Linked DNA regions of Macaca mulatta. The protein of the gene in region 7 purifies or fractionates together with the protein of the main gene of each other region. This does not show direct contact. Links are inferred from orthologs where the notes say so. Each region holds a gene or a part of one and is shown on either strand. Other genes may lie near its edges.

Region 1 (3,283 bases), on a different chromosome or scaffold from region 7:
AATGAGATGATCTAGCCTCCGTAATGTCATCTTTGAAGTCAGTCTCGTTTTCATAGCCTGAATGTAAGTTCACGTTTTAACTTCTTTCTCTGACTGTGTTTAAAAAAAGTGATGTAATTTTCCTTAAGCTCCTGTATCACGTGGAAGAGATAGTTACGGAGGTCCACCTCGAAGGGAGCCACTGCCCTCTCGTAGAGATGTTTATTTGTCCCCAAGAGATGATGGGTATTCTACTAAAGACAGGTAATAGAAAATTGCAGCTTTTTAAATTAATAATTAAGGTTGAAGGAAAGCTTATCAAAAGCATGAACCAAAACTTTTGTGTTTGTAGCTATTCAAGCAGAGATTACCCAAGTTCTCGTGATACTAGAGATTATGCACCACCACCACGAGATTATACTTACCGTGATTATGGTCATTCCAGTTCACGTGATGACTATCCATCAAGAGGCTATAGGTAAGTGACTGCTTCTGTGGCTTGCATGTAAGAAAAGTTGCTATAAAAGTTGATGCTCTGGGACTTAAAGGTTTCTCTTTAATTTAGCGATAGAGATGGATATGGTCGTGATCGTGACTATTCAGATCATCCAAGTGGAGGTTCCTACAGAGATTCATATGAGAGTTATGGTAAGATACTGGTTAAGGGTCTTGAGTATCACCAGCTTGAGTTTTTAGGTTCGTGAGCCAGTTTTTTAGGCTGCGTGGTGCTTGCTTTTTAAAGGGATGTTTGCTTGCTTTTAAAGGGGTAACTTTATCAGCTGGGCTTTTCCTAGTTTTGTGAGGGGCTTTTTTTTTGTTTTTCTAAGTTTCTTTTGAGGCTGTTTGCTTGCTTTGGAGGGGATTTTGCTTGCTTAAATTGGCAGCCTTATGTGTTTTCCCCCAACAGTGAAAATACAATTTAAAAATTTTATTAACAAGATCAAATATTTACCATTGCAATATGAAGGCAAGTTCTACAGTTCAAAATTGCAACTTATCACTGGAAAGTGGCTGAGTGTCTACTATAAAATAACAAGCTCTCTGGAATATCCTCTTGAAATACACACCGTCTTCAGTCTTTTCAAACAAACATTAAAATGAATCCATTTCCATATCTCAGCAGATGAGCAAATCCCTGTTATGGCCAGCAATGGCAGAGTTTAAAACCTCCCACCCAGTTGAGAAAGTAAACTTTTAATACAAGAATTCTGTAAATTCAGATTTAAAATGTTGTATATATACAATTTATAGTGTTGCCATATTACCTGACCATTGACCCTGCAGGTAACTCACGTAGTGCTCCACCTACACGAGGGCCCCCGCCATCTTATGGTGGAAGCAGTCGCTATGATGATTACAGCAGCTCACGTGACGGATATGGTGGAAGTCGAGACAGTTACTCAAGCAGCCGAAGTGATCTCTACTCAAGTGGTCGTGATCGGGTTGGCAGACAAGACAGAGGGCTTCCCCCTTCTATGGAAAGGGGGTACCCTCCTCCACGTGATTCCTACAGCAGTTCAAGCCGCGGAGCACCAAGAGGTGGTGGCCGTGGAGGAAGCCGATCTGATAGAGGGGGAGGCAGAAGCAGATACTAGAAACAAACAAAACTTTGGACCAAAATCCCAGTTCAAAGAAACAAAAAGTGGAAACTATTCTGTCATAACTACCCAAGGACTACTAAAAGGAAAAATTGTGTTACATTTTTTAAATGCCCTGTTAAGTTTCCCTCCATAATTTTTATGTTCTTGTGAGGCAAAAAGTAAAACATGTTTAATTTTATTTGACTTTATGACATTGCTTTTCAACAAGCAAATGTTCTTGTGAGGCAAAAAGTAAAACATGTTTAATTTTATTTGACTTTATGACATTGCTTTTCAACAAGCAAATGTTAAATGTGTTAAGACTTGTACTAGTGTTGCAACTTTCCAAGTAAAAGTATCCCTAAAGGCCACTTCCTATCTTGATTTTTCCCAGTAAATGAGGCAAGCAATTCTAAGATCTTCCACAGAACATCTAGCCATCTAAAATGGAGAGATGAATCATTCTACCTATACAAACAAGCTAGCTACTAGAGGGTGGTTGGGGTATGCTACTTATAAGATTTCAGGGTGTCTTCCAACTGAAATCTCAATGTTCTCAGTATGAAAAACCTGAAATCACATGCCTGTGTAAGGAAAGTGCTATTCACCCAGTAAACCCAAAAAAGCAAATGGATAATGCTGGCCATTTTGCCTTTCTCACATTTCCTTGGGAATCTGCAAGAACCTCCCCTTTCCCCTCCCCCAATAAGACCATTTAAGTGTGTGTTAAACAACTACAGAATACTAAATAAAAAGTTTGGCCAAAACCAACCATGAAGCTGCAAAGGTGCTTGCTCTTACTGTTTCAAATTTTTGCAACTCTGTAGTGTCTCACTTTTAAAGGAACAGCTTGATTGCAAAGGAGAAAATAGATAAGCAATGAAGTTATCTCCAACTTCCTAAAGGCTTATGACTTCTAAAAAGTGAATCTATCAGCATTCCACATCAGATTTAAAGCATCAAATGCCTGTGAAACAGCAAAGATGGTAAGCAAAGCAAACTAGTTTTTCCGTCTAAGTCGAAATTGAACACTTACCTTCCTCATAGTACAGTGAAACATACTGTACCTCAAGGCAATGGAAATGCCTTCTAGATTAAAAAAACTTTTGGAGAAAAGAAATATTCAATAGCATATTAGAAGTCTTCCAAATTCAACACTTGGATTCTTTTTTTTTTTTTTAAGCATGTATGACACTTAAAGGCTTTATTAATAAAGCTGTTGTTTACCAATGGCGATCTGGGGCTTGGGAGGGGGTATTTTTTTCAAAGTCCATTTTTGATGAAGACCTTTAAACATGCTTCATATGTTTTAACATTTTTTTCAAATTAGTCTTTTAGTCAATATAGGAAATGGCTTAAGTTTGGGGTCCCCCTTTTTACCCCTGTAAGCCATTGCAAACTTGACATTTAGTTGGATGCCTGACTTGTTTTTAGTTCTATGAAACTACACTGTATGGAGAAAATCTATTGCAAGTGGTCTTTAAAAAGCAAAACCTGAGGCACCATGACCCAGGTCCAGCCATGAAGTTGAAAAAGATGCTCTTGAATATAGTAAACTTGAAGACCTCCAACTAAAAATCCTTATACTGCACTTATTCCTTCAAATAAGTTTTGTTCGTTCAACTTATGGATTTAACGTGGCAGTGCACCATTGGAACAGAATGACAATCCATAAGCCATGCAACTTAACCATTTAAGCCATTCCAGTCCATCCCGAGCCAGTG
Region 2 (4,238 bases), on a different chromosome or scaffold from region 7:
TTGTGAGTGGCAGAACTTTGGAGTCTGCCTCCAAGGCCCCTTCGCAGCCACTTCATGAGATGGCCTCCGAAAAGCCTGACCGTTGAGCTGTGGGGGAGACCGGGGGAGGAGTTTAGGGGTTGGGGTGCTGGCACAGTACTTGGATTCCCTGACCCAGCTGGTTTTCCTCCTCCTGACAGAAAAACCGTAAGCGCAGGAACCGAAAGAAGAAGAAAAAGCCCCAGCGGGTGCGAGGGGTGTCCTCTGAGAGCTCTGGGGACCGGGAGAAAGACTCAACCCGATCCCGTGGCTCTGACTCCCCAGCAGCTGATGTTGAGATTGAGTATGTGACTGAAGAACCTGAAATTTACGAGCCCAACTTTATCTTCTTTAAGAGGATCTTTGAGGCTTTTAAGGTACAAGGAGAGCGTGCTCGGAAGGGGCAGTGCCAAACAGGGAAGGGGCTCAGAGGTGGGTGCGAGGCAGCAGTGAACAGGCATGTTTTTAGTGCTGGCTTTAGGAACTGGGAAGGGGCTCAGAGGGCAGGGGTTTCACCTTGTCTGCCTCCTCAGCTCACTGATGATGTGAAGAAAGAGAAGGAGAAGGAGCCAGAGAAACTTGACAAATTGGAGAACTCTGCAGCCCCCAAGAAGAAGGGATTTGAAGAGGAGCACAAGGACAGTGATGACGACAGCAGTGATGATGAGCAGGTCAGGCCCAACCCTCCTGGTGGGAAGCAGGGACTCTGGGCACAGGTGACTGAGATGCATCCAGAGAGGGACCATGGTGAACACTTGCAGAGCTTTGGGGGCTTAAGTTTGGGGTGAGTTGGGCAGTTTCATTCACATCTGAGTCCTGCTCAAAAGAGGTGATTGTTCTGTTCTAGGAAAAGAAGCCAGAAGCCCCCAAGCTGTCCAAGAAGAAGTTGCGCCGAATGAACCGCTTCACTGTGGCTGAACTCAAGCAGGTAAGCCCTGAGAGTATTCTGCAGGCCCTGGATCCCAGCTGGGAGACCACCTGGGGAGCCAGGGAGGTGAAAAGGAGTTCTTTGAAGGAGGTGTGAGTGATTTGGGTTTAGGTCCTTTGAGGAAGAAGAGCTTCAGAACTGAGAAGTCAGGGCTCTCAAGAACATGCATTACTATGTGTTTTCCAGCTGGTGGCACGGCCCGATGTTGTGGAGATGCACGATGTGACAGCGCAGGACCCTAAGCTCTTGGTTCACCTCAAGGCCACTCGGAACTCCGTGCCTGTGCCACGCCACTGGTGTTTTAAGCGCAAGTACCTGCAGGGCAAACGGGGTATTGAGAAGCCCCCCTTCGAGCTGCCAGACTTCATCAAACGCACAGGCATCCAGGAGATGCGAGAGGCCCTGCAGGAGAAGGTGAGAGCCTGCCCTCGGGTGTCCCCATCCTTCACAGCAGTGTGCTTCAAAATGGGAATATGGGTTGAAACCCACCTACCACCTACTTGTTACTTGTCTAATTATCCTTTTGTTTTCCTTCTCTGCTCTTCTTCCCCTCTGCCTTCACGTTGCCAGCTCACCTGGTGACTCCTTTCTCAGATGCACTTTGTGGCTAGGGATTCATGGTGGTTGTGTAACTTCTTAATTTTAAAGCTTTTAGTTAAATGCTCTGAACTTAGGAGGTACAAAAGAACACGGGGATGTCTCTGCCTTCCAGAGAAATGAGGAGATTCATCTCTTGATGAGATGGTTAAAAACTAGTTATTGATAGACACAGCTGAGGCTGATATTGTGGAGTCTGTTTTGTTCAGCATGCATTATGTAATTTTGAAGGGTTTGAGCAGGAAGGATTTTGGTGACTTTCGGGGTGAGATAATTGAGGCTTCCCTTGATCTCTTTTGGAGTTGGGAGCTGGATTCTCTACATGAATTTGGTGAGTACTTGTTAAGGCTTGTCTTCTGCCATTCTCTACAGGAAGAACAGAAGACCATGAAGTCAAAAATGCGAGAGAAAGTTCGGCCTAAGATGGGCAAAATTGACATCGACTACCAGAAACTGCATGATGCCTTCTTCAAGTGGCAGACCAAGCCAAAGCTGACCATCCATGGGGACCTGTACTATGAGGTTTGGGAGGGGGCTGGGAGAGGTCAGGCCGGGCCTTGGGGTTGAGACTGTCTAGGGCTTTTTTTTTTTGAGACGGAGTCTCGCTCTGTCGCCCAGGCTGGAGTGCACTGGCGCGATCTCCACTCACTGCAAGCTCTGCCTCCTGGGTTCACGCCATTCTCCTGCCTCAGCCTCCTGAGTAGCTGGGACTACAGGCGCCCACCACCTCGCCTGGCTAATTTTTGTATTTTTAGTCGAGACGGGGTTTCACCATGTTAGCCAGGGTGGTCTCGATCTCCTGACCTCGTGATCTGCCCGTCTCGGCCTCCCAAAGTGCTGGGATTACAGGCGTGAGCCACCGCGCTTGGCCTTTTTTTTTTTTTTTTTTTTTTTTTTTTTTAAATATGAGGTCTCACCCGTTACCCAGGCTGGAGTGCAGTGGTATGATCTTGCTTCACTGTAGCCTCTGCCTCCTGGGCTCAAGCAGTCCTCCCATCTCAGCCCCCCGAGTAGCTGGGACCACAGACACACCACACCCAGCTAATTTTTTGTATTTTTGGTAGAGACAGGGTTTTGCTATGTTGCCCAGGCTAGTCTCAAACTCCTGAGCTCAAGTGATCCACCCGCCTCAGCCTCCCAAAGTGCTGGGTTTACAGGCATGAACCACTGCACCTGGCCCAGGAGGGCTTCTGAAGCAATTACAATAGTTCCTCAGCCTTAGAATTGCCCATTGACTACCCTTGGATGAGATGGAATTTAAATTGAGGTCCTATTTGGAGGAGAGATGCAGATCTGGTGGCTTCTTTCCCTGATAGACTCTTCATATCCTGTCTTAGAAGTGATAATGATGGTGGGTGGTTTAGGGATGGAGGGGCCAAGGGACAGTTGCTTTTAGGAAACTTTTAATATTGGGGGTGGTAGAGAAGTTGGTATTTTTTTTTCCTGATCCTTGAAATCGTAGTCCCCTTGATGTCATGGAATTTATGAGGTGGAAGAATTTTGCAGATCATCCTGTCGAGTGCCCTCGTTTTACAGATGAGAAGGCAGGTCCTAACGTTGGCTGTGTTCTCATAGTGGGTTATTGACAGCACTGGGAGTCTGGCCTGGTTTTTATTCCTTCCCCGACTTTGGCCAGGGAAAGAAGTGATGAGAATCAGAGTGGGAGCCAGGTAGCCCTCACTGGGATTTTATATCTGATGTGGGTTAGGTCTTCTCGCCTTTGTTTTCACGTCCTCTTGCCATTGTGCTCCCACTGAGTGTCTGGGTCTGCAATGTAGCATGCTCTGTTTTTCCCTCAGGGGAAGGAGTTCGAGACACGACTGAAGGAGAAGAAGCCAGGAGATCTGTCTGATGAGCTAAGGATTTCCTTGGGGATGCCAGTAGGACCAGTGAGTGTCAGTTAGCTGTCTGGGGAAGCAGCGAAGTGGGTGGGGATTGGAGCGGAAGGCAGTGACAGGGATACGGTTTGGCAGATGGTATCCTGTTCTCTTTTTCCTGCAGAATGCCCACAAGGTCCCTCCCCCATGGCTGATTGCCATGCAGCGATACGGACCACCCCCATCGTATCCCAACCTGAAAATCCCTGGGCTGAACTCTCCCATCCCTGAGGTGAGCATTGTCCTTTCATTCATTCTTGGCTGTTTCTGCTTTTGAACTGGAAGGTGATTTTTTTGTTTTCCTTCTCTAACTCCACCATGTGTTTCTTTATTTAAAAAAATTTTTATTGACACATAATATTTGTCATATACCATGGGTATGTGTGGAAAAAACAAGTAATGGTTTTTGTTTTTTAAAAAACTGACATGCTCATCATAAAATATTCAGTCAGAATTGACAAGTACAAAGATGAAAGCAAGTCACAATTTTACCACTCAGAAATAGCCAAATTCACTATTTGGTGAATGTGTTTCCAGATATGTCTCTGAATATAAGAATGGCCAGAGAGAAATAATTTTATCTTAGCCAGATGTGGTGTCTCAACACCTGTAATCCCAGCACTTTGGGAGGCTGAGGTGGGAGGATCCCTTGGGGCCAGGAGTTTAAGACTAGCCTGGGCAACATAGTGAAACCGCATCTCTACTTTAAAAAAAAAAAAAAGAAAAGAAATAATTTTTTTTTTTTAGTTTCACTTCAATCTATCAGAAATAATTTTATCTCAAGAATGTCTTCAAATTTATTCTTATTTTAAAGTAAT
Region 3 (4,238 bases), on a different chromosome or scaffold from region 7:
CTAGTCTTTGCAGATTCATTTAGATTTAGCTGGTAAATTTTCTTTCTTTTTTGAGACAGAGTCTGCCTCTGTCGCCCAGGCTAGAGTGCTGGAGTGCAGTGGCGGGATCTCGGCTCACTGCAAGCTTCGCCTCCCGGATTCAGGCCACTCCTCCCTCAGCCTCGCGAATGGCTGGTACTGCAGGCGCCCGCCACTACATCCGGCTAGTTTTTTGTATTTTTTTTTTTAGTAGAGACGGGGTTTCACTGTGTTAGCCAGGATGGTCTCGATTTCCTGACCTTATGATCCGCCCGCCTCGGGCTCCTAGAGTGCTGGGATTACAGGTGTGAGCCACCACGCCCGACCTTAGTTGGTAAATTTTCTTAAGGAGCAGTTGTAAACTAGAACAGTTTGACAGTAAAATGGGAAAGTGTATCTCTTGAATATGTGGATTACTGATGTTGCCTTGATATAAATAATAGCAAGTAGCTTTATCATTATTATTATTATTAGCATTGGGGGAGATGTCGCTTCCCCAGTTCCAGATACAGATCATTCATGGCCTGGCTGTTGATGGTTAGGGTACTGGGTAGGGTATACAGCAATCCCTGTCTGGGACTGAGGGAGTTTCCAGACACAAGACTTTCAGTGCTAAAACCAGGAAAGTGCTGGACACACAGAGGTATTTGTCACCCTAGTACTGTGTGAAAATTAAGATACCATCTAGCCTAGATTGGGAAAGCAAAACCCTATTATGGAGTGTGTGAAAGCAACTCAGTAAAGGTCAGGTATGTGCACAAGGCTATGGTCTGGGAGCTTTCTGTTTTATTAATGTCATGTAGTATTCACAACAGCTTTATGGGATAGCTGTTCTTATCCCCATTTTACAGTAGGGGGATTCTGGCATGGCGAATGAGACTGTTTGCTGGAATTCAAGCGGTTAAATGGTGATCAGGATTTGAATCAGGCAGTTTAACTCCAGAGCCCATGCTCTGAACTACTACACAACACAGTATCATCTCTCGATTACCTAATTTCTCTCTCAGTTTTCCTTCTGAATAATAGGAAAAATCTGCCTCACAAAGTTGTTAACAGGATTAAAGTAAATGCTTAATATAGTTTCTGTCATATTGGGTGTTCATTAAATGTACTTTGTAAAGCTCACCTTCATAAATGCCAAAGGAGTGGTTCAATTTTTTTGTTGTTTATTGTTATGAACATTTAAAGAAAAGGATCAAGAGCTCCAGTGTCCAGGGAAAACTGAAAGTAATAAAATTTATCTGTTAGAGGATGGCCTAAATTTTGGAAAAGCCAAGAGGCAGTAGGAGGGCATTCCCAGTAGAAATTGCCTCATGGCAGTAGGAGCACAAGACACTAGCACATTTAGCTCACTTGTGAAATTGTTTGAAAAGTTGCACAGTTCTTGTGAGTGGGCCATCTTGTCTTGCACTTGCAGAGGGGAAACATGTAAAGGATGTGAATTTAACTTGTTTAACAATTACATCTTCATAAGGTGATAGTTTTGTGACATTTTGGTAAATCTTTTAAAACTAAATGTTTTGGGTCTCCTGTCTCCCCAGATGAAAAAGAGAGGTTTGACCCTACTCAGTTTCAAGACTGTATTATTCAAGGCTTAACTGAAACCGGTACTGATTTGGAAGCAGTAGCTAAGTTTCTTGATGCTTCTGGAGCAAAACTTGATTACCGTCGATATGCAGAAACACTCTTTGACATTCTGGTGGCTGGTGGAATGCTGGGTAAGTGTCTGGGGTTTGTGGGCTTAATAATTTAGAAAGGTATAGTGTATGGAGATTATGGAGACTCTAGAATATGAACTATTTGGCAAACTTGTTAAAATGGAGTGATTTTTTTCCTTGTGTTGTATTTTGATTTTATCCAACTTTAGCCCCAGGTGGTACACTGGCAGATGACATGATGCGTACAGATGTCTGCGTGTTTGCAGCCCAAGAAGACCTAGAGACCATGCAAGCATTTGCTCAGGTAAATGAAACTTAACATAATTGTTTTCAGTTAGCTACTATCCATGTGGTATATTTGAGGAATATTCTACTTTTAAGAGTTGTGGTTAGAAAGTTGAAGGAATTTGATTTTAAATTTTAGGGAGACTGTTCTTGGTGCAACGGGATGAATTAGAAACTTAAGATGTGTTAAGGTGAATAAAATAGGGAAAAATGAAATTAACTCTCCTGTTCCTATTTGTCCTGAAATTACTCAATTTTTAAGAAAAATGTCAAGCTAAAAAAGTCATTTTCGTATTGTGATTTCTCTAGTTTATCTGCATATATTTATTTTTAAAGTTAAATAAGTTGTGAGCTGATTAGCTTTTTAATCAAGATCTCATTGGAAAGTTTCATATGTAGTTATGTTTGTATTATTTTAAGCAAAGAATTAAAGTACATCTAACCTGGACATTCTTATGTGTCACTAGAAATTCTTCTCAAGCTGGTATAAACAGCTCATAAACTTATATCCAGTGAAAGGTTTACTACTTTGCTATTCTAGAAGTATATGAAGTTACTGAATTCATTTCATGTTCTTCATAGGTTTTTAACAAGTTAATCAGGCGCTACAAATACCTGGAGAAAGGTTTTGAAGATGAAGTAAAAAAGGTATGAGGAATAAGGTACTTTGTGGAAAAGAAAAAAATAGGGTTAGAAGGAGGGAATGTTAAATCCTAATTCTCCCACAGATTTGGGGTAATTTTGTTTGGTTGGTTGGTTGGTTTTTTGGAGTGTCACTCTGTTTCCCAGGCTGGGAGTGCAGTGGCTCAGTCTCTGCTCACTGCAGCCTTCGCCTGCTGGGTTCAAGCAATTCTCGTTCCTTAGCCTCCTGAGTAGCTGGGATTACAGGCATGTACCACCATGCCTGGCTAATTTTCTATTTTTAGTAGAGACAGGGTTTCACCGTGTTGGCTAGGCTGGCCTTGAACTTCTGGCCTCAAGTTATCTGCCCTCGGCCTCCCAAAGTGCTAGGATTATCGGCATGAGCCAGCACGCCTGGCCCAATATTGCATATAGATGCCCAGAAAACCTGATGCGTTTATCAATGACCAGGCACTGTTCGATACTAATTCACTTAATGTTTATAAAAACCCTGTGAGGCAAGTTTTATCATCCACATTTTACATGTGAGGTGCAGAGGTTGAGTAACTTGCCGATCATTCAGCTAATGAGTATTGTAGCTTAGATGTAAACTTGGATGGTTAGATCCCAGAGCCCACGTGTTGAACCAGTAGCCAGTGTAACATGCTTTACTGTTTCTCTTAATGTAATGTAATTGCTGTTTTAACCCTTAACTGTTTTACTTTTTACAGCTGCTGCTGTTCTTAAAGGGTTTTTCAGAGTCGGAGAGGAACAAGCTGGCTATGTTGACTGGTGTTCTTCTGGCTAATGGAACACTTAATGCGTCCATTCTTAATAGCCTTTATAATGAGAATTTGGTTAAAGAAGGTAATCAACCTTAAAGGATGGTCTTTAGTTGACTCAGAGTGGGGTGGGTAAGAGCATGGTTTACTGTTCATAGATGTGACTTCTGTGAAAGTCTTCGTTTATTAACCAGCCTTAAATTTAATAAGTTCAGTCTAATTCACTAGACATTTAATGAATACCTTTGGCATCCAGGTTTAATGGTTTTCTTTAGGAATACAATAGATAACCAGATTTAGACAAAATGTTGTTACATGTAATGCGAATACAATGAGAAATGTTGTGGGAACTCCAGAAGAGATTAATACCAATAGGGAGACTTGGAGAAAATGATGTTGGGGAAAATGTCAAGCTGGAAGGGAAAATCAACTCCCTGTTTGGCTCCAATTGTCAGATTATTCTGTACAGTAATTTTTTTTTTGAAGCTTTTTTTAAACTGCTTACAGTAGTATTTAAGTTGCCTTAGTGTAATTCTCACAACAGCCTTGTCAAGTGTAGAGACTATTGCCCTCAATTTATACTTTAGAAAACACTTTAAGTAACTTGGCCAAGAATATACAATTCGCAAATGGTGTAGACTAGGGAAATTGGAGAAGTGATAAAACTGTGGCCCAGGAAAGTTCAGGGTTAAGTTTGTGAGGAAAGTCCGTAATCCCATGTGATTGAAGTATGAAGGGAAGGATATAGAGGGGGATACAGTGATTGAAACCAGGAAGGTACTTCTGTTAAGTAAGCTATTTTCTTTTACAGGAGTTTCAGCAGCTTTTGCTGTAAAGCTCTTTAAATCATGGATAAACGAAAAAGATATCAATG
Region 4 (4,808 bases), on a different chromosome or scaffold from region 7:
CAACTCAGTAGGTGGTGAACAGTTTGTATTTTTGAGACAGTCTCACCCTGTTGCCCAGACTGGGGTGCAGTGGCTTGGTCTTCACTCAATGCAGCCTCCGCCTCCTGGGTTCAAGCGATTCTCCTGCTTCAGCCTCCCAAGACGCTGGAATTACCACAGGCAGCTGCCACCATACCTGGCAATTTTTTTTTTTTTTTTGGTTTTTTTTTTTTTGAGACAGTCTCACTCTGTCACCCAGGCTGGAGCACAATGGCAGTCTCAGCTCACTGCAACCTCTGCCTCCTAGGTTCAAGCTGTTCTCCCACCTCAGCCTCCCAAGTAGCTGGGACTACAGGCATGTGCCATCACACCTGGCTAATTTTTGTATTTTTAGTAGAGACAGGGTTTCACTATGTTGGCCAGGCTGGTCTTGAACTCCTGATCTTGTGATCCGCCTGCCTCGGCCTCCCAAAGTGCTGGGATTACAAGCGTGAGCCGCTGCACCTGGCTTTTTTTTTTTTTTTTTTTTTGGTATTTTTAGTAGAGACAGTAGAGAGTCCTGTTGACAAGGCTGGTCTGGAAATCCTGACATCAGGTTGATCCACCCACTTCAGCCTCCCAAAGTGCTGGGATTGCGGCGTGTGCCACCATGCTTGCCCCCAGTATTTAAAGAGAAAGCATCTGCTGAGAACAGGTGCTTTGTTGTGATTCCTGTATTTCACTTGCAGATCTGTCTGTCGGAACATGGTATGTTCATTCTAACTAGGTCTGTGTCAAAGGTTTGAAAGTCACTGCTAACAGGGCCGACAACTAAGCTGTGAGGACCCTATTCTCTAAATTGCAGCCACATCTGCAAGTAGCCTCCTGCTTCAAAACTCCCAGCCTGGGGCATCCAGCATTTCCCCAGGGCAGGGGCCTCCTTCAGTTCTGAACCTTCCCTGATCTCCGTATCTACCCATGTTTGCTAACCCTGTACAAGTCATCCGTCAACTGAACTACAAACTGAGGACAAAAGACTAGTTCGCTGACTCTTTTACCTAGTTTTTAGTTCCTGCTATCTAGGAAGCAACACTTGTTTTTCTAAAGAACGTAGTCATCCCTCAGGAAAGGCCCATGTAAGGCTGGCCCTGCGGGCTGGAAGTGGGTCAGGGGCTGCAAGGCGGGCTCATAGCGTTACACACGCGGGCTCACCACGTTACAAGCGCTAGTCTCCCACGAGGCGCCTGGGGCTGAAGAGAGGGCCCTGGGGAGGAGGCCTTGTGGCTCCGGCGCGGGCCAACTTCAAGCCCGTGATCCGGCTGCCCGGGCTGCAGCGGCCGCCGTCCCGCCCGGTGGCGCCAACCCGGGGCCCTGCCCCAGCTGTCTACCGGCCTCGCCCTGCCGCGTGGGCCTCGCTGTGACCCGGAAGAGCTCCGGAAGCGGTTCCGGAGTCAGCCCCGGCAGGATGGCGGCGGACACGCAGGTGAGGCGGGCGGCTGCGGGGCCAACGGGGCCAGGGACTGGGTGCGGATGGTGGCCGTCGGGTGGGGCCGCTCTCGCTCCTCGGTTTAGGGGCGCTGGGGGTGGTGGCCGTGGAGGGCGTAGTCTCGGGGCCGTCTCAGGCCGGACTCTCACGGCTGCGGGCTTGGCCCGGCCGGGGCGGCGCAGGCAGACCGCGAGCTCGAGGAGTCCGGGGCTCCCCTCTCGATTTCGGCAGCTGGAGCTCGGCGGGGCCTTTGCCCGACCCCGGAGTTGCAAAAGTTCACTTTACCGAGCCTCTGCTTCTTCTCTCCAAACCCCTCCGCTGTGAGCCCCGGGCCAACGCCAAGTCTTCGTTAAACTTTGTATTCAGCAGATGTTCTTTGAGTGTAGACTTTGGATTCATACAGATCTGGGCTTGAGTTCCTGCTCGTCGATTTCTGTGACATGCAAAACAAGTGGCTTAACCCCGCCAAGTCTGCCTTTGCATCTATAAAATGAGGTTAAAACAATACTTATCTTAAAAGGTTGTTGTGAAGGTTCAGTGAGATAAAATAGGGCTTGATATCAGATACAGGGTTAGTGAAAAGAACTGTGTCCTGCCCAGGAAGAGTCTTGTCACCCTTGAGTGTTACCTGTGGGTACCTTGTACTTCAGGAAGGACTTGGGAAAACCTTTTCCTCCACCCAGTTGTGGTTATGTTTTAAGGTGAAAAGACATTGTTATGGGGCAGGGGAAAAACAGGTGTGTAAAGGACAGCTGGGCTGATTTGGGGTCTCCAGGGTGATGGGATTGATTTTTATGAGTAGGCCCAGAAAATGACCACTTAACTTGAACATTCAAAAAGACATTTATTGAGACTCTGGTATGCGTGCTGAATCCTAGAAAGAAAAGCTTAGTATGAGCGGGTTAGGGGAATACATGCTGAATATTTAACACTGATACTTGAGGAAGAATCTTCTCTAGAGCTGCAATGTCCAGTATGGCAGCCACATGGCTACTTAAGTTTGTTAAAATTAAATGAAATAAAAAAATTCAGTTTTTGGCTGGGCGTGGTGGCTCACCCTGTAATCCCAGCACTTTTGGAGGCCGAGGTGGATGGATCACCCTTGAGGTCAGGAGTTTTCGACCAGCCTGACCTATATGGCAAAACCCTGTCTCTACTAAAAATGCAAAAATTAGCCGGGTGTGGTGGTGCATGTCTGTAATTCCAGCTACTGAGGAGGCTGAGGCATGAGAATCGCTTGAACCGAGAGGCAGAGGTTGCAGTAAGCCAAGATTGCGCCACTGCGCTCCAGCCTGAGCAACAAGAGCGGGGACTCTGTCTCAAAAAAAACAAAAAAAAAATTCGTTCTTCACTTCTACCAGCCACATTTCAGTGCACAGTTAGCTGCATGTAGCCAGTAGCTACTGCATTGGGTGATGCATGATAATGTTTCTGTATTTTATAATTTTTGTATTTTTAGTAGAGGGGGGTTTCTCCATGTTGGCCAGGCTGGTCTCGATCTCCTGACCTCAGGTGATCCTCCCGCCTTGACCTCCCGAAGTGCTGGGATTACAGGCGAGTCACCATGCCCGGCCTGAGATTATTTTATTTTGTTTTTTGAGATGGAATTCCTCTCTAGGCTGGAGTGCAATGGCACAATCTCAACTCACTGCAACCTCCGCCTCCCAGGTTCAGGCAATTCTCCTGCCTCAGCTTCCCGAGTAGCTGGGATTACAGGCATGCGCCACCACGCCCGGCTAATTTTTGTAGTTTTTGTAGAGACAGGTTTCACCATGTTGGGCGGGCTGGTCTCAAAGTTCTGACCTCAAGCAGTCTGCCTGCCTCGGCCTCCCAAAGTGCTGGGATTACAGGCATGAGCCACCGTGCCTGACCTTGTCTTCAGTATTCTAAAGGAAAAGGATTTCAACCTAGAATTCTGTATTTGGCCAGAACATTTTCATACTTGCAAGGAGTTTACAAAATGGAGGATGTGCTTCACCTAAACACAAGAAAGTACATGTTCAGGGTGATAAACTGTGCCCCAGCTGTAGAGGATCACATGCCTAATTGGGGCAGGTCAGAAAACTGGGAGAGATTTCCTTAGGAAGGTGGAATTTGATGGAATACCTGATCTGACTAAATGTACTGAGATTTAGACAAATGGCAAAAAGCTTGGGGTTTAATTATTTATAAGAACAGATTTAGGCCGGGCGCGGTGGCTCAAGCCTGTAATCCCAGCACTTTGGGAGGCCGAGACAGGTGGATCACGAGGTCAGGAGATCGAGACCATCCTGCTGAACACAGTGAAACCCCGTCTCTACTAAAACTACAAAAAACTAGCCGGGCGAGGTGGCGGGCGCCTGTAGTCCCAGCTACTCGGGAGGCTGAGGCAGGAGAATGGCGTGAACCCGGGAGGCGGAGCTTGCAGTGAGCTGAGATCAGGCCACTGCACTCCAACCTGGGCGACAGAGCGAGACTCCGTCTCAAAAAAAAAAAAGAACAGATTAAAAAAAAAAAAAAGGCAAACTGAAGCATGGTGGGAAAGGGTAATTATTAACACCAGGGACATAAAAAAGCTGGGAAGAATAAGAGTTTATTAAATGGATGTTGAATGCCCTTTACATATAATGTAATCACTGACTACTTACCTAGCCTATATCATGAAACTGGGGATTTCCACTGGGGAAATGGGGAGAGTGTGCGATGGGGTCAGAGCAGGAAAGGGAGCTGTGGTGGAAAGGTAGCAAAACTGAAAAATCAAGAAGCTCACGCAAGTTACCTCCATAGTTAGAGATACTTAGATATATGGAGGTAACTACCCAAATACCCACTAGATCAACCTAAGGGTTGTCCATGGAGAGTGAGGGCAAGGGACTGGTTTTTATGGCAGACCTCTCAGAACTTTTTGGTTTTGACTTATGTGTATCTATGACAAAATACTTTTTTTTTTTTTTTTGAGACGGAGTCTTGCTCTGTCGCCCAGGCTGGGGTGCAGTGGTGCGATCTTGGCTCACTGCAACCTCCGCCTCCCGGGTTCACGCCATTCTCCGGCCTCAGCCTCTTGAGTAGCTGGGACTACAGGTGCCCGCCACCACACCCGGCTAATTTTTTGTATTTTTAGTAGAGACGGGGTTTCACCGTGTTAGCCAGGATGGTCTCAATCTCTTGACCTCGTGATCTGCCCGCCTCGGCCTCCCAAAGTGCTGGGATTACAAGCGTGAGCCACCACACCCAGCCAAAAACAAAAGACATTTTAAAGTTAAAACAATACATCATTTACGTAGAAGACAGTTTTGGACGTTGCCAATAGAATTATGGCAGGGATTTAAGCATGAAAAACTCAGCATTGTTTCATTTCTGCGTGTACACTTGCCTCTTATGCTAC
Region 5 (4,238 bases), on a different chromosome or scaffold from region 7:
CACTGCTCTCCAGCCTGGACACCAGAGTGAGACCATCTCAAAAAAAAAGTAAAAGAAGAAAGGTCGGGCACAGTGGCTCACGCCTGTAATCCCAGCACTTTAGAAGGCTAAGGTGGGTGGATCACAACGTCAGGAGATTGAGACTATCCAGGCTAACACAGTGAAACCCTGTCTCTACTAAAAATACAAAAGAAAAAACAAAACAAAGCAAAAAAAAACATTGGCCAGGCGAGGTGGCGGGCGCCTGTAGTCCCAGCTACTCTGGAGGCTGAGGCAGGAGAATGGTGCAAACCCGGGAGGCGGAGCTTGCAGTGAGCCGAGATTGCGCCACTCACTGCACCCCAGCCTGGGCGACAGAGCAAGACTACGTCTCAAAAAAAAAAAAAAAGAAAAGAAAGGTCGGGCGCAGTGGCCCACGCCTATAATCCTAGCACTTTGGGAGGCCGAGGCAGGCGGATCACCTGAGCTTGGGAGTTCGAGACCAGCCTCACCAACATGGAGAAACCCCGTCTCTACTAAAAATACAAAAAATTATCCAGGCGTGGTGGGGCGCGCCTGTACCCCAGCTACACGGGAGGCTGAGGCAGGAGAATCACTTGAACCCGGGAGGTGGAGATTGTGGTGAGCCGAAATCGCACCATTGCATTCCAGCCTGGGCAACAAGAGTGAAACTCTGTTTCAAAAAAATACAAAAATACAAAAATTAGCTGGGCGTGGTGGCAGGCAACTATAATCCCAGGGGCTGGTGAGGCTGAGGCAGGAGAATCGCTTGAACCTAGGTGGCGGAGGTTGCAGTGATCCGAGATGATACCATTGCACTCCAGCCTGGGCAAGACAGCAGTAACTGTCTCAAAAAAAAAAAAAGGAAAACAGGATTTTTGTTGTTTTTCTGTTGTTTGTTCCTTCTTTGTAGAAGGATATTTTGGAGCCTATTAGTATCACTGACATCTTTTTCATCCTTTAATTTATAGGCCTTTAGCAAAAAACAGATAGATGATCGAAAGGAATGGTTAACTAATTTCATGGAGGATAGAAGACAACGAAAGTTACTTGGACTTCCTGAGGTAAAAGTATTAAATATATCCCACAGAATGGACTGTTAGACTGACCTTTTTGTATTGATACTATAGCAAATTAAACTTACTGAATAGTTATTTTAGTAAAAAATTTGATATGATAGAATTGTGCAGCAGTTAAATTTGCTTTATCTTTAAAACATAAAATATTTATGTATTATTCAATATTTCTTTAAGACTTGGCCGGGCGCGGTGGCTCAAGCCTGTAATCCCAGCACTTTGGGAGGCCGAGACGGGCGGATCACGAGGTCAGGAGATCGAGACCATCCTGGCTAACATGGTGAAACCCCGTCTCTACTAAAAATACAAAAAACTAGCCGGGCGTGGTGGCGGGCGCCTGTAGTCCCAGCTACTCGGAGGCTGAGGCAGGAGAATGGCGTGAACCTGGGAGGCGGAGCTTGCAGTGAGCCGAGATCACGCCACTGCACTCCAGCCTAGGTGACAGAGCGAGACTCCGTCTCAAAAAAAAAAAAAAAAAAAAAAAAAAGACTTAAGAATTACAGAAATAATTCTTAGTTCTGAAAGGTTTCTGTTTGATTTTTGTGTTGAGCATTGTTAAGACTGGTGGTCTCATGTAATACTATTTGGTCCTTCAGGATTACTTGTATGGACAAACTACCACATATCTGACATATAATGACTTCATCAACAAGGAACTTATCTTGTTCTCAAATTCTGATAACGAGAGATCTATCCCTTCTATGGTGGATGGTGAGTTCCAATTTGTTCGTCTGTTTTCATTGTAAGATGGAAATCAAATTCCAAAAATGGTTAAATTGAAGATACTTATGTTTTTGCTCTTATTTCATTTTAAAGGTTTGAAACCAGGTCAGAGAAAGGTTTTGTTTACTTGCTTCAAACGGAATGACAAGCGAGAGGTAAAGGTTGCCCAGTTAGCTGGATCAGTGGCTGAAATGTCTTCTTATCATCATGGTGAGGTAAACATACAATCCATGTTTCCAGAAAGCATTATGTCAGAAATCCCTGCAGAGTCATTCTCAAAATAGATTTGGTGAAAGTATAAGCTCATATATTCATAGTAAAGAACAAGTTGGTAAAATCTGTCAAACAATAAAACTGCTTGCTCTTTGATTTCTGAAAGTAGTATTCCTGCAGGGATACTCATAAGTCTGCAAAGGTCTACATTAAAAGATACTTAGTATGTTTATTATAACTTTGTGATGTCAAAATTTAGACCTCCACTGATTTGAAAATTGTTATAATAAATTGTGACACATGTATGCATAGAATCAGTGCTATAGCTTCAGTAAAACTGTGTACACTGACACTGAGGAATATTCATGGTCTATTGTCAGGTGAGGAGAAAAAGAGGCAGAACAATAACTAAAAAGGTCTACAAGGATATGTTCCAAATTGTTCACTTTAGTTACCCCTGGGAATTGGAAAAGGCAACTTTCACTTTTTATATGTGTCTGAATTGTTTGACTTTACACCAATGTTTTCTGATTGCTTTTTGCATTAATTAGGTAAAACAGTTTTAAAGCACTAGATTGCCTACAGGTTTCTAGAATTTTAAATATAATGGTTGTCTTGTTGCTTTCAATCAAAATATAGTAGGGATACAATAAATTTTCACCCAACGAACATTTGTTGAATGCCTACCATGTACCAGGTATACAAAGATAAATAAAAATAAAATATGTTCCTTATCCCCAAGATATAACAATTTAGCCAGAGGGCCAATACACACACAGCTATAGAATAAAGTGATACATGCTAGAATAGAAATGAGCACAGCATTGTAACACAAAGGAGGAAGTATTTCGTTTTGCTGGGGATAAGGAGAGGAGCTATGCCTTCAAAGTTGAGTGGGACTTAGTAGAAATTGTTGGACGGCAGCCCTAAACTTGGAGCCAGAAGTTGTAGGTTCAAGTACTACTTCTGCCATCTATTAATCTGAGGAAAGTCACTAAACAACTAAACCTCACAAAATGTTACAGGATTATAGTGAGATTAAGTCATAATAATGTATTTGTATTAGTAAAAGCCTCAACTTAATGAATCTTTTTTCCCCACAGATGTCACTAATGATGACCATTATCAATTTGGCTCAGAATTTTGTGGGTAGCAATAATCTGAACCTCTTGCAGCCCATTGGTCAGTTTGGTACCAGGCTACATGGTGGCAAGGATTCCGCTAGTCCACGATACATCTTCACAATGCTCAGGTAGGTATGCTTTCACTTTCACCATTCCAGTTTTGAAACAATGTGAGATTTAGTTGACCAAAAAAACAAAAACTCAGTTAATCAGAAGATACTGGCATCTAGTGGGCAGAGGCGGGGGTGAGGCTTATAAATACCCTAACATATACAGGAAAGCCCCGCCATAACAAAAAGAATTATCCAGCGCAACATGTCGATTATGCTAAGGTTGAGAAATCTTGATGTAGAGCTTGGGACTGAGTAAAGGAGTCTGATTCTTCCTAAATATCACAATTGAAATTTTACTCCTATACAAGCCTATGGAAAGTATATTATGAATGGTCAATTTTCAGCTGTCATCCCAGTCACCCTTTCAGTGGCATTCAAACAGTTACTAATCACTCCATCCTTCTTGAAACTATTTGGCCTCTATGACTGTAGACTCTATGACTGTAGACTCTTCTGGTTCTCTCTTTCCTTATTAGCTGTCTCTGCTGGGTCCTTGTCACCTTCCCAACCTCTAAATACTGGCCCATTCTAGGACTCCTTCGTCAGATCTCTTTCCAATATCTCTACACTCAATTCCCAAATGATCTCCCATTCATCTGGTCTATACCTTTAAATCTCCAGTCCTGATCTCTCCCCTGAACTCTCAACTTTTATGTCTGACTGCCCTCTTAACATTTGCCACTTGGATATCTAGTTAAGTATCTCAAACATAAGTCTAAAACCAAATCCTTAGTTTTCCTGTCTCAGTAAATGGAATACCATCCTTCTAACTGCTCAGGCTAAAAACCTTGTCACCTTTGACTCCTTTGCTCGATACTTACGTCCAGTTCCTCAGCCAATCCTATAGGATCTGCATTGGAAAAATACTAAGCCACCCCCATCTCATCTAAACTATTGTAATATACCATTTTATAGCAGCCAATTATTTTTTTAAAAAATAAGTCACTCTGATTCAGAACCTTCAACTGCTCAGAGTAAAATCTAAAGAC
Region 6 (5,005 bases), on a different chromosome or scaffold from region 7:
CTGTGGAATAGAAGTGGACAAGGTAGGGCAGAAGGTCAGTAATTACATTAAACACCTCTTTCTTTCTTCTTTATAAATGAAATAGAGACAGGATCTTGCTATGCTGCCCAGCCTGGTATCAAACTCCTTCTTGGCCTCAAGGGATCCTCCTGCCTTAGCCTCCCCAAGTGACATTAACACATGTGAGCCACCATGCCCGGCCATAAACACTTTTCTGTTCCGTTTGATTTTAAAACCACACGCGTATATGAGAGGAATTGAAAAAGTACATGAAAAATGTGCATTATGAAAAAACTATCCATGCATTTCAAAAATATTTTGCACTGAAATAAACTCATACTAACTTGTTATAACGTGTCTGAACAAGATCTAGTGTGAGGCACTAAGAAGGATTAGACATCAATTTGAAAAGAGTCCCATGGGAGCAACACGAATTCTGCTAAAATGGAAGCAACAATGAACACCAAATTCAAGGTGAAGCTTGGGTGGAAGAAGGGTGAAATCACCAATGCTTTATGAAAGAAAAGTATATGGGGACAATGCTCCCAAGAAACCAGCTGTTTACAAATGGATAACTCGTTTTAAGGGACAAGGCCAGGCACAGTGGCTCATGCCTATAATCCCAAAGACTTGGGAGGCAAGGCAGGAGAACTGTTTGGAGGCCAAGAGTTCGAGACTAGCTTAGGCAAGATGGTGAAACCCCATCTCTACACAAAATTAAAAAAAAAAAAATTAGCTGGGCACGGTGGCATGCACCTGTAGTCCCAGCTACTCGAGAGGTTGGGGTGGGAGGATCACTTGAGCCCAGGAGTTAGAGGTTGCAGTGAGCTATGATCGTACCACTACACTCTAGCCTGAGAGACAAAAAACGAGACTGTCATTTAAAAAAAAAAGACTACGGCCCGGTGCAATGGCTCAAGTCTGTAATCCCAGGACTTGGGGAGGCCGAGGTGGGCAGATCACTTGAAGACAGGAGTTCAAGACCAGCCTGACCAATATGACAAAACCTCGTCTCTACTAAAAATACAAAAATTAGCTGGGCGTGGTGGCACACGTCTGTAATTGGGAGGCTGAGGCAAAAGAATCGCTAGAACCCGGGAGGTGGAGGTTGCCACGAGCCGAGATCGCGCCTCTGCACTCTAGCCTGGGCAACAGAGTGAGATCCTGTCTAAAAAAAAAAAAAAAAAGAAAAGCCCTAGTAAGTATACAAAGCGACAAAATGTAATACTCAAGGGCACATATGTTCGGCCAGGCGAGGTGGCTCATGCCTGTAATCCCAGCACTTTGGGAGGCCGAGGCAGGAGGATCATGAGGTCAGGAGATCGAGACCATCCTGGCTAACACGGTGAAACTCCATCTCTACTAAAAATACAAAAAATTAGCTGGGCATGGTGGCGGGCGCCTGTAGTCCCAGCTACTTGGGAGGCTGAGGCAGGAGAATGGCGTGAACCCGGGAGGTGGAGCTTGCAGTGAGCCGAGATCCTGCCATTGCACTCCAGCCTGGGCGCCTGGGCGACAGTGCGAGACTCCGTCTCAAAAAAAAAATGTTCAAATGCCCCATGGAAGAAGGGAGGAGTATGAAAAATACCAGAAATCTAAATGTAAAAAAAAATGTGGGGGTGACTGGAGAGTAGGCTGAGAGTATGCTGTGGATGGGAATGGTGGCAGGAACGTATGCTGAGTGGAAGTGAACAGCCCAGGCAAAAAAAAAAAAAAAAAAGATGGTGCCAGTATGGATGGAAAGAAGCCGGTGGGCTTGGTAGATCTACGCGGAGGTACAATACACTTCGCTTGGTGAGGAACTGGACGCCCAGGTGATGGACAATGTAGGAGGAATGATTTCTCAATCTCTGGTTAGCACTGAATTGAACAGATAATGGTACCATTCGTGGAGATAGGGATCAAGAGGCCCAGACTTAGAAAGATAACGAATTTGCTTTGGGATATGTATATTGAACTTAAAAGCCTCTGAAGCATGGAATAAGCAGATAGATTATAGAAGTTTGTCTTTTAGAGTAAAGGTGGCTCAGTACAAAGAAATTTGTCACGCCTGTAATCCCAGCATTTTGGGAGGCCGAGGCGGGCGACACAATGGAGGTCTGGAGTTCGAGATCAGCCCGGCCAACATGATGAAACCCTGTCTCTAATAAAAACACAAAAAAGTAGCCAAGTGTGGTGGCGCACACATGTAGTCCCAGCTACTCGGGAGACTGAGGCAGGAGAATCGCTTGAACCCGGGAGACGGAGGTTGCAGTGAGCCGAGATCGCGCCACTGCACTCCAGCCTGGGCGACACAGTGTGACACTCACACAGTGAGTGTCGCCCAGGCTGGAAGAAAAAAAAAAAAAAGAAATTGCCTTTGGGAGTCAAGAGGGCCTAGAGGGAGCCTTGAGTCAACAAAAATTTACAAAGAGGGGCCTGCAAATAAGACGGGGATAGACCCGCCAAGCTGAGCCACTAAAACCCAAGGAAGAGGGCGTGAGCAGAAGAAGCAGGGCTCAAAAGCAAACGCTGCTGAGAACTCAGGTAAGCTGAAAACGGAAAAGGGCTGGATTTAGCAACTTGGAGGACACTGGTCCCTTGAGCCAGGGTTTTCTACAGCGATCAAGGGGATGCCTGGAGTGGGTTAAAGAGTTGATGAGAGGCGAAGAAAGGAAGTGGCTGAAACCAGACAAGAAGTTTGGCTGCGGGGCAGGAAAGGAGAAGAAACAGAAAGTGGCCGCAGGTGAAAGATCCAGAAAAAGGCAAGCGTTTATTTACTTTGTTCTTAAGTAGGAAAAACGTGAGCGTGTTTCAAAGACGATCAGAAGAATGCTTTGAGGAGGGGGTGATGACACTACACGGGGGCTCGGCGAGTCCCCACCGCCCCCCGCCTTCTCCTCCCCTCGCGTTCATCCCCCGTCGCCCCGGGCTCCCCTCCCCCTCTCCACTCCGCGAGGCTCGGGGCCGCAGCCACCCGCACCGCCGGCCCGGCCCCCGGCACCTCCTCACCGCAATGGCCCCCTCGCTCAGTTGGCCGACCATGGCTCCGCCGCCCCGACTCCCGCGCGGACCCCGCGACAGCTGGAGCTTCCCCACCGGGGTCCCGCGCGCTGCGCAGTTATTGGCCCGAGGAGTTGCGTGCGCCGCTCCCGCCCCCGACGTGCGCGCGGCCCAGGGGCGGGCCCGGGCGCTGCGCAGCCGCCACATTGGCCGAGGCGCGGCGCACGTGACTTGCTCGCGGGCCCAAAGGAGGCCTGGCGCGGAACACGGGGCGCGGGGCGGGGCGCCGAGGGGCGCGCCAGGAGCTGCGCGGGCGCGGGGAGGGAGTCCGCGGCCCAGTTCCGGGCGCCTGTGAGCGGGCTCACGAGGCTTTCTCGCCTCGGTTTCTGGCCAGTGCACGGGTTGGTAGCCCAGAGGAGGTTAAAGCTGTTCCCTGAGACCTCAGCTGCTAAATGGAGTCGCAGCAGTGACCCGGTTCCTCCAGCAACGCGGGGCTGACTTCTCGACCGGGGCCAAACCCTGAGCTTGGCACCGTTGAGGGGGGGGTCTCCGAAGGGGAATCAGACCTGGTCCCTGTCCGTGGAGAAGAGGACAGTGTGTGGGGGCACTTTATGCCGTGAGTAGCCCCAGCGCCAGGTAGACGTGGTACAGGCCCCAAGAGTGTTGGAAATCAGGGAAGCCTTCCCAGAGGACGTGCCGTTTGAACCGAGTCGAAGAACGAACCTGTGGGAATTTTCCAGGTGGACTCCATAAGCCAGGGTAGGATTGGTCCGGAAAGCACGAATAGCCTCTGCCAAAACCTTGGAGAGATGAAATAGCCTGGCAAGCCGGGGATCGCAATGAGTAGTTCAGTATGCAAGGCTGCAGAGGAACAAGTGAGACCTGAGAATTAGAAAGTCAGCCAAGGGTCAAGTAAGGACGGTTTTGTCCTGGGCTTCCTGATATGCTTGGAGTAGCGTTGATGAATTTAAGGCAGAGCACTGACTTCTGTCTCAGTGTTGGAGGCTGGATTGAAAGTTGGGGGGGGTGCCAATGGCATGGACACTAATTATGACACTCTAGGAAGAATGCCAGACGAGATGGTGAGGACTTAAACCGAAGGAATGACCTGGGGGTTGAAAGAGAACGCTGAACTATATGAGAGAGAGAAATACCTGTTAATTGAATAGTTGCTGGGGTGGGTGAGAAAGAAAAATCTGGGGAAGTGTCTCAGGTTTCAGACTTGAGAAACTAGGGGGATCAGGCCGGGCGCGGTGGCTCACACTTGTAATCCCAGCGCTTTGGGAGACCCAGGCTGGAGGATCACCTGAGGTCAGGAGTTCGAGACCAGCCTGGTCAACATGGTGAAACCCCATCTCTACTAAAACTACAAGAATTAGCCAAGAGTAGTGGCGCACTCCGTAATCCCAGCTACTCCGAGGCTGAGGCAGGAGAATTGTTTGAACCTGGGAGGCAGAGGGTGCAGTGAGCCGAGATCGTGCCACAGCGCTCCAGCCTGGGGGACAGAGCAAGACTGTCTCACGCACAAAAAAAAACACTAAGAGGACACGGATGATAGCTATCTAGTCTGCTTCCTCTTTGTATAACCATCACCTGCATGGTGCCTGTCACAAAGTAGTCTTTCAGTAAATATTTCTGAATGGAAGGATGTTGAGTGAATTGCTGTGAGAGAATATAGATCTTTCCTTAGCATGTAAACTAGAGGAAAAGACCACAAGAATTGATTTTATTGCTTTAGGCTTCCTTGAATGAAATCTTGATTTTCCTTTTTTTTTTTTGACACAGAGTCTCCCTCTGTTGCCTAGGTTGGAGTGCAATGGTGTGATCTCAGCTCACTGCAACCTTGGCCTCCCCAGTCAAGTGATTCTCTTGCTTCAGCCTCCAGAGTAGCTGAGACTACAGGCGTGCGCCACCACACCCGGCTAATTTTTTTGTATTTTTGGTAGAGACGGGGTTCACTGTGTTAGCCAGGATGGTCTCGATCTCCTGACCTCATGATCCACCCACCTCGGCCTCCCAAAGT
Region 7 (4,238 bases):
CTCTTTGAATCACTTCTTAACTTTTAGGTACTTTTATGAATAGGTTAGTTTCACTGGTGGCTGGAATCTGTCAAAATTGAGTCTGGTTTTTTTAGTCTTTAAAAAAATTTGGTTTTTTTTTTAAGACAAGGCCTCACTCTATCACCCAGGCTAGAGTACAGTGACATGATCACAGCTCACTGTATCTTCCACCTCCCAGGCTCAAGTGATCCTTCCACCTCAACCTCCCAAGTAGCTGGGACTACAGATGTGTGCCACCATGACTGGCTAATTTTTTATTTTTTGTAGAGAGGTGGGTCTTGCCATATTATCCATGCTGGCCTTAAACTCCTAGGCTCAAACTGTCCTCCCTTTGCCTCTCTCACAAAGTATTGGGATTACAGGCGTGAGTCACCACGCCTGGCCCTTTTAGTCTTTTCTAGTGAAAAATTTTGTTTTTATTAAGATGAAATTAAAAGAAAAAACTACTGATCCTTTCACTTGATGGGATAGATACACTTTTATAAAATCTTTATGTTTTAGAAGATAGCAGATTTTCCCTATTTCTTGAGAATTTTAGTTTCTTTAAATCTCATATCTGAATATTGTAGGGAAAGTATTTTATGGTTGTCAAGGATTTTTAAAAGTTTTCTGCTCTGTTGACCTTTAATTTCTGTTGATATGAATTGTTACAAAACAACAGCTATCGGCCATTGTAAAATAGGATTTTCTTAGATGTACTCCATTGTATTTATTCCTCAAATTAGGACTTTGCTTTAGGTAGGCTGTACAAGTAAAGAGACGGAACAGGAAAACTATTGATTTGGAAGGAGTACTAAGTGGGGGAGGCAAGAAAGACGCAGAAGGGGAGGAGGTATTCCTGGAGCTTTGAAAGACTGCTTCGAGCCTGTCTTTAGGCGTCTTAATCATGTTTAGATGTTGCTTGTCAGTATTAAAACAGCCTTTTTAAAAAACTTGTGAATTTTAAGAATCATGACAATTTAGTAAGTTTTAAAGGGAAATTTAAATACTATATTTTAATATTATTTCTTTCATACACATTGTCCTTTTTACATACTTGTCATACTTTTTCCTATGTGCACACACATTTTCATTGAATGTTCATAATATAGGAATAGTTTTTCTTTTGACATTATGTGGAATGTTTTGCTTATCACAGTCTTCATACTTATATGTTTTAATATTTAGTACTTCAATTACTTAGGGTATGTTATTAATAATTTTATTGCTATTCTGAGTTTGCTTTTATCTTGAATATAGTAAGTAATGGTGTAGGGGACCACTTAATGCATATTGTTTTTGCCTTTTTTTAGTTCTTTTCTTTTCTTTTCTTTTTTTTTTTTGAGATGGAGTCTTTCTCTATCGCCCAGGCTGGAGTATAGTGGCAGGATCTCAGCTCACTGCAACCTCCACCTCCCAGGTTCTAGTGATTCCCCTGCCTCAGCCTCCGAGTAGCTGGGATTACAGGCACACGCCACTACGCCTGGCTAATTTTTGTATTTTTAGTAGAGACGAGATTTCGCCATGTTGGCCTGGCTGGTCTCGCACTCCTGACCTCAGGTAATCCACCCACCTTGGCCTCCCAAAGTGTTGGGATTACAGGCGTGAGCCCCTGCACCCGGCTTTTTTAGTTATTTTCTTAGAAATGAGGTTGGTTTGTTCAAAGGGTATGAGTATTTGTATGAATTTTAATGTTTTTGCCTATATGTAACTTACAAATGTCTTTTCTACCTTGATCCATGACAGTGAAAAAGAAGGAAGAGATAGAAAAAAAGACAAACAGCATTTGAAAAGGAAAAAAGAATCTGATTTACCATCAGCTATTCTTCAAACTAGTGGTGTTTCTGAATTTACTAAAAAGAGAAGCAAACTAGTACTTCCTGCCCCTCAGGTAATCTGATAAAAGCAAATTTTTCACTATGTGAATTTATATGCTTATATCATTTATTCAGCAAATGTTTGAAGGCCTGTGTGCCAGGTTTGTGCTGGATGCTCTTAAGAAATTCACAGTTTAATGGGTAAGACACACATAAAAACAAGTAATTGTGGGCTGGCTGCGGTGGCTCACGCCTGTTATTTTAGCACTTTGGGAGACCAGGATGGGCAGATAACCTGAGGTCAGGAGTTCAAGACAACAGGAGTTCCTGCCCAGTGTGGTGAAACCCTGTCTCTACTGAAAATACAAAAATTAGCTGGGCGTGGTGGCACACACCTGTAATCCCAGCTACTCAGGAGGCTGAGGCGGGAGAATCACTGGAACCCTGGAGGTGGAGGTCGCAGTGAGCCAAGATCGTGCCTCCGCACTCCAGCCTGGGTGACAGAGTGAGACTCTGTCTAAAAAAAAAAAAAAAGAAAAAGAAAAACCCACAAGTAATTGTGATATAGTATGATAAGATAGCTTCAGCTTCTCTGTATAAATTATTGTATCAGGTCTTAAACTGCTCATATGATGGTTTGGTAAGTAATCGTCAGCTCTTAACATTTTGTCAACAGGTTAGGATTTTAGGCTTCTTTTTTGTAGCTGACAAGGGTAAAGGTGTGGTTTGGCTTTGTGGACTTTAAGCTACCTTCTCCCAGGGAGTGTTTTGTTGTGTTTTGCTTGTCTTTTTTGAGACAACAGTTACGAAAATCAATGTAGGAGTTGTGGAGAAAAGATACAAACATTCTTTCATTCAGCTTGTTACAGGCTGTTTTCTTTTTACTTATTCTAGTTGATCAGAAACATGGGACCTTAGAGTAACCTTTTTTTTTTTTTAATGAAACTGAGTCTCGCTCTGTCGCCAGGTTGGAGTACAGTGGCGCCATCTAGGCTCACTGCAACCTCTGCCTTCCGGGTTCGAGTGATTCTCCTGCCTCAGTCTTCTAAGTAGCTGGGACTACAGGCGTGCGCCACCATGCCCAGCTAATTTTTGTGTTTTTAGTAGAGACAGGGTTTCACCATATTGGCCAGGATGGTCTCGATTTCTTGACCTCATGATCTACTTGCCTCGGCCTCCCAAAGTGCTGGGATTACAGGTGTGAGCCACTGTGCCTAGCTAACCTTCTTTTTTTTCTGTTTTGAGTAGTACAGCTTTGTAGAATTGGACAGATTTAATGGTGCAGAAGAAAGGACTTAGGAGACCAGAAGAACTCTTTCCCCCTGTGAGCACATTGGCTGCATCAACACAAGATTCTTGGGCATAAACTAATTTTGTCGTATCCTGACATTCCTAGTGGGGATATTTATTAAATTGAAATTTTGTCTTTAATTTTTTTCTTAGTACACCTTAGGATATTTATTTTGGTAAAATTACTAACACAACACCTTTAGATTTTCTTAGGGATCTTGTGGCTCACTGGAGTATTTCTGTGTGATATTTTAATTGGTTTTCAGTCTTCCTCCTCCAATTTTGTATAAATACTGCTATTTTACATTCTTGGTACATTGATACGTTGATTTGAAAGAATTTCAGTATAGAGATACAGCCTTTGTAGCTTGATTTTATATCAAATGTGAATTTTCCCCTCACATTCTGTAAGGAAGACTTTCTAAAGCTATATTATGGAAACTTTCAAAGCCACAAAAAAGATGAGTACTACCGAGAACCCCTGATACTAATCACACAGCTTTAGCAATTCGTTTTTCTGGAATGTGGAAATTTAAAGATGTGTCAGCTCTCAGTTAAAATAGGGTTTTTTTTTTTTTTTTTTTTTAAAAGACAGTTTTGCTGTGTTGCCCAGGTTGGTCCCGAACTCCTGGGCTCAAACAGTTTGCCCTCCTCGGCCTCCCAGAGTGTTGGGATTACAAGTGTGAGCCACTGTGCCCGGCCTCAGTTAAAATGTTGCTTACTATAATTGTGTCCTTTTAGATTTCAGATGCAGAACTCCAGGAAGTTGTAAAAGTAGGCCAAGCGAGTGAAATTGCACGTCAAACTGCCGAGGAATCTGGCATAACAAACTCTGCTTCCAGTACACTTTTGTCTGAGTACAATGTCACCAACAACAGCATTGCTCTTAGAACACCACGAACACCAGCTTCCCAGGACAGAATTCTGCAGGTAAGGTGTCACGTAGTAGAATGAGCCTTTTACTTTGTTTATTGTCCTTAGAAGTATCATGCAGGAGAACTAAGTGGTTTGGTTGTGTTTCTTTTAGTGTAAATGGTTTGAAACTGAGTCCTGAATGCATAGATCTTGCAACATTTCTGTAGTAGAGAAGCTAAATAGATTCAGCAATAAGTTTTATTTTCTCATTTATTA

The links.
Region 1: the proteins of CDC5L (region 7) and RBMX purify together in Homo sapiens (affinity purification with mass spectrometry; 3 studies listed by BioGRID and IntAct, with this or other methods). This does not show direct contact. The link is inferred for Macaca mulatta from reciprocal best matches to the Homo sapiens genes CDC5L and RBMX.
Region 2: the proteins of CDC5L (region 7) and SF3B2 purify together in Homo sapiens (affinity purification with mass spectrometry; 3 studies listed by BioGRID and IntAct, with this or other methods). This does not show direct contact. The link is inferred for Macaca mulatta from reciprocal best matches to the Homo sapiens genes CDC5L and SF3B2.
Region 3: the proteins of CDC5L (region 7) and BZW1 purify together in Homo sapiens (affinity purification with mass spectrometry; 3 studies listed by BioGRID and IntAct, with this or other methods). This does not show direct contact. The link is inferred for Macaca mulatta from reciprocal best matches to the Homo sapiens genes CDC5L and BZW1.
Region 4: the proteins of CDC5L (region 7) and GCN1 purify together in Homo sapiens (affinity purification with mass spectrometry; 3 studies listed by BioGRID and IntAct, with this or other methods). This does not show direct contact. The link is inferred for Macaca mulatta from reciprocal best matches to the Homo sapiens genes CDC5L and GCN1.
Region 5: the proteins of CDC5L (region 7) and TOP2A purify together in Homo sapiens (affinity purification with mass spectrometry; 3 studies listed by BioGRID, with this or other methods). This does not show direct contact. The link is inferred for Macaca mulatta from reciprocal best matches to the Homo sapiens genes CDC5L and TOP2A.
Region 6: the proteins of CDC5L (region 7) and RPA1 purify together in Homo sapiens (affinity purification with mass spectrometry; 3 studies listed by BioGRID, with this or other methods). This does not show direct contact. The link is inferred for Macaca mulatta from reciprocal best matches to the Homo sapiens genes CDC5L and RPA1.

What each region holds. Positions count from the first base shown.
Region 1 is NC_133426.1:143,215,702-143,218,984, reverse strand, and holds the end of RBMX (RNA-binding motif protein, X chromosome), read left to right. Parts: intron 1-128; coding exon 129-243; intron 244-331; coding exon 332-457; intron 458-544; coding exon 545-627; intron 628-1,263; coding exon 1,264-1,574; 3' UTR 1,575-2,330; downstream 2,331-3,283.
Region 2 is NC_133419.1:8,353,427-8,357,664, reverse strand, and holds part of SF3B2 (splicing factor 3B subunit 2), read left to right. Parts: intron 1-179; coding exon 180-395; intron 396-551; coding exon 552-689; intron 690-865; coding exon 866-946; intron 947-1,132; coding exon 1,133-1,360; intron 1,361-1,915; coding exon 1,916-2,065; intron 2,066-3,342; coding exon 3,343-3,432; intron 3,433-3,544; coding exon 3,545-3,652; intron 3,653-4,238. UniProt on the Homo sapiens protein: Component of the 17S U2 SnRNP complex of the spliceosome, a large ribonucleoprotein complex that removes introns from transcribed pre-mRNAs.
Region 3 is NC_133417.1:105,914,743-105,918,980, forward strand, and holds part of BZW1 (eIF5-mimic protein 2), read left to right. Parts: intron 1-1,559; coding exon 1,560-1,736; intron 1,737-1,885; coding exon 1,886-1,980; intron 1,981-2,543; coding exon 2,544-2,609; intron 2,610-3,313; coding exon 3,314-3,449; intron 3,450-4,175; coding exon 4,176-4,238. UniProt on the Homo sapiens protein: Translation initiation regulator which represses repeat-associated non-AUG (RAN) initiated translation probably by acting as a competitive inhibitor of eukaryotic translation initiation factor 5 (EIF5) function.
Region 4 is NC_133416.1:127,488,569-127,493,376, reverse strand, and holds the start of GCN1 (stalled ribosome sensor GCN1), read left to right. Parts: upstream 1-1,407; 5' UTR 1,408-1,423; coding exon 1,424-1,441; intron 1,442-4,808. UniProt on the Homo sapiens protein: Ribosome collision sensor that plays a key role in the RNF14-RNF25 translation quality control pathway, a pathway that takes place when a ribosome has stalled during translation, and which promotes ubiquitination and degradation of translation factors on stalled ribosomes.
Region 5 is NC_133421.1:64,783,994-64,788,231, reverse strand, and holds part of TOP2A (DNA topoisomerase 2-alpha), read left to right. Parts: intron 1-971; coding exon 972-1,064; intron 1,065-1,672; coding exon 1,673-1,787; intron 1,788-1,892; coding exon 1,893-2,014; intron 2,015-3,115; coding exon 3,116-3,264; intron 3,265-4,238. UniProt on the Homo sapiens protein: Key decatenating enzyme that alters DNA topology by binding to two double-stranded DNA molecules, generating a double-stranded break in one of the strands, passing the intact strand through the broken strand, and religating the broken strand.
Region 6 is NC_133421.1:3,376,892-3,381,896, reverse strand, and holds the start of RPA1 (replication protein A 70 kDa DNA-binding subunit), read right to left. Parts: upstream 3,114-5,005; 5' UTR 3,025-3,113; coding exon 2,992-3,024; exon of another isoform or gene 2,984-2,991; intron 1-2,983. Other genes in the region: protein-lysine N-methyltransferase SMYD4, read left to right, coding at 4,977-5,005. UniProt on the Homo sapiens protein: As part of the heterotrimeric replication protein A complex (RPA/RP-A), binds and stabilizes single-stranded DNA intermediates that form during DNA replication or upon DNA stress.
Region 7 is NC_133409.1:137,702,143-137,706,380, reverse strand, and holds part of CDC5L (cell division cycle 5-like protein), read left to right. Parts: intron 1-1,746; coding exon 1,747-1,891; intron 1,892-3,848; coding exon 3,849-4,037; intron 4,038-4,238.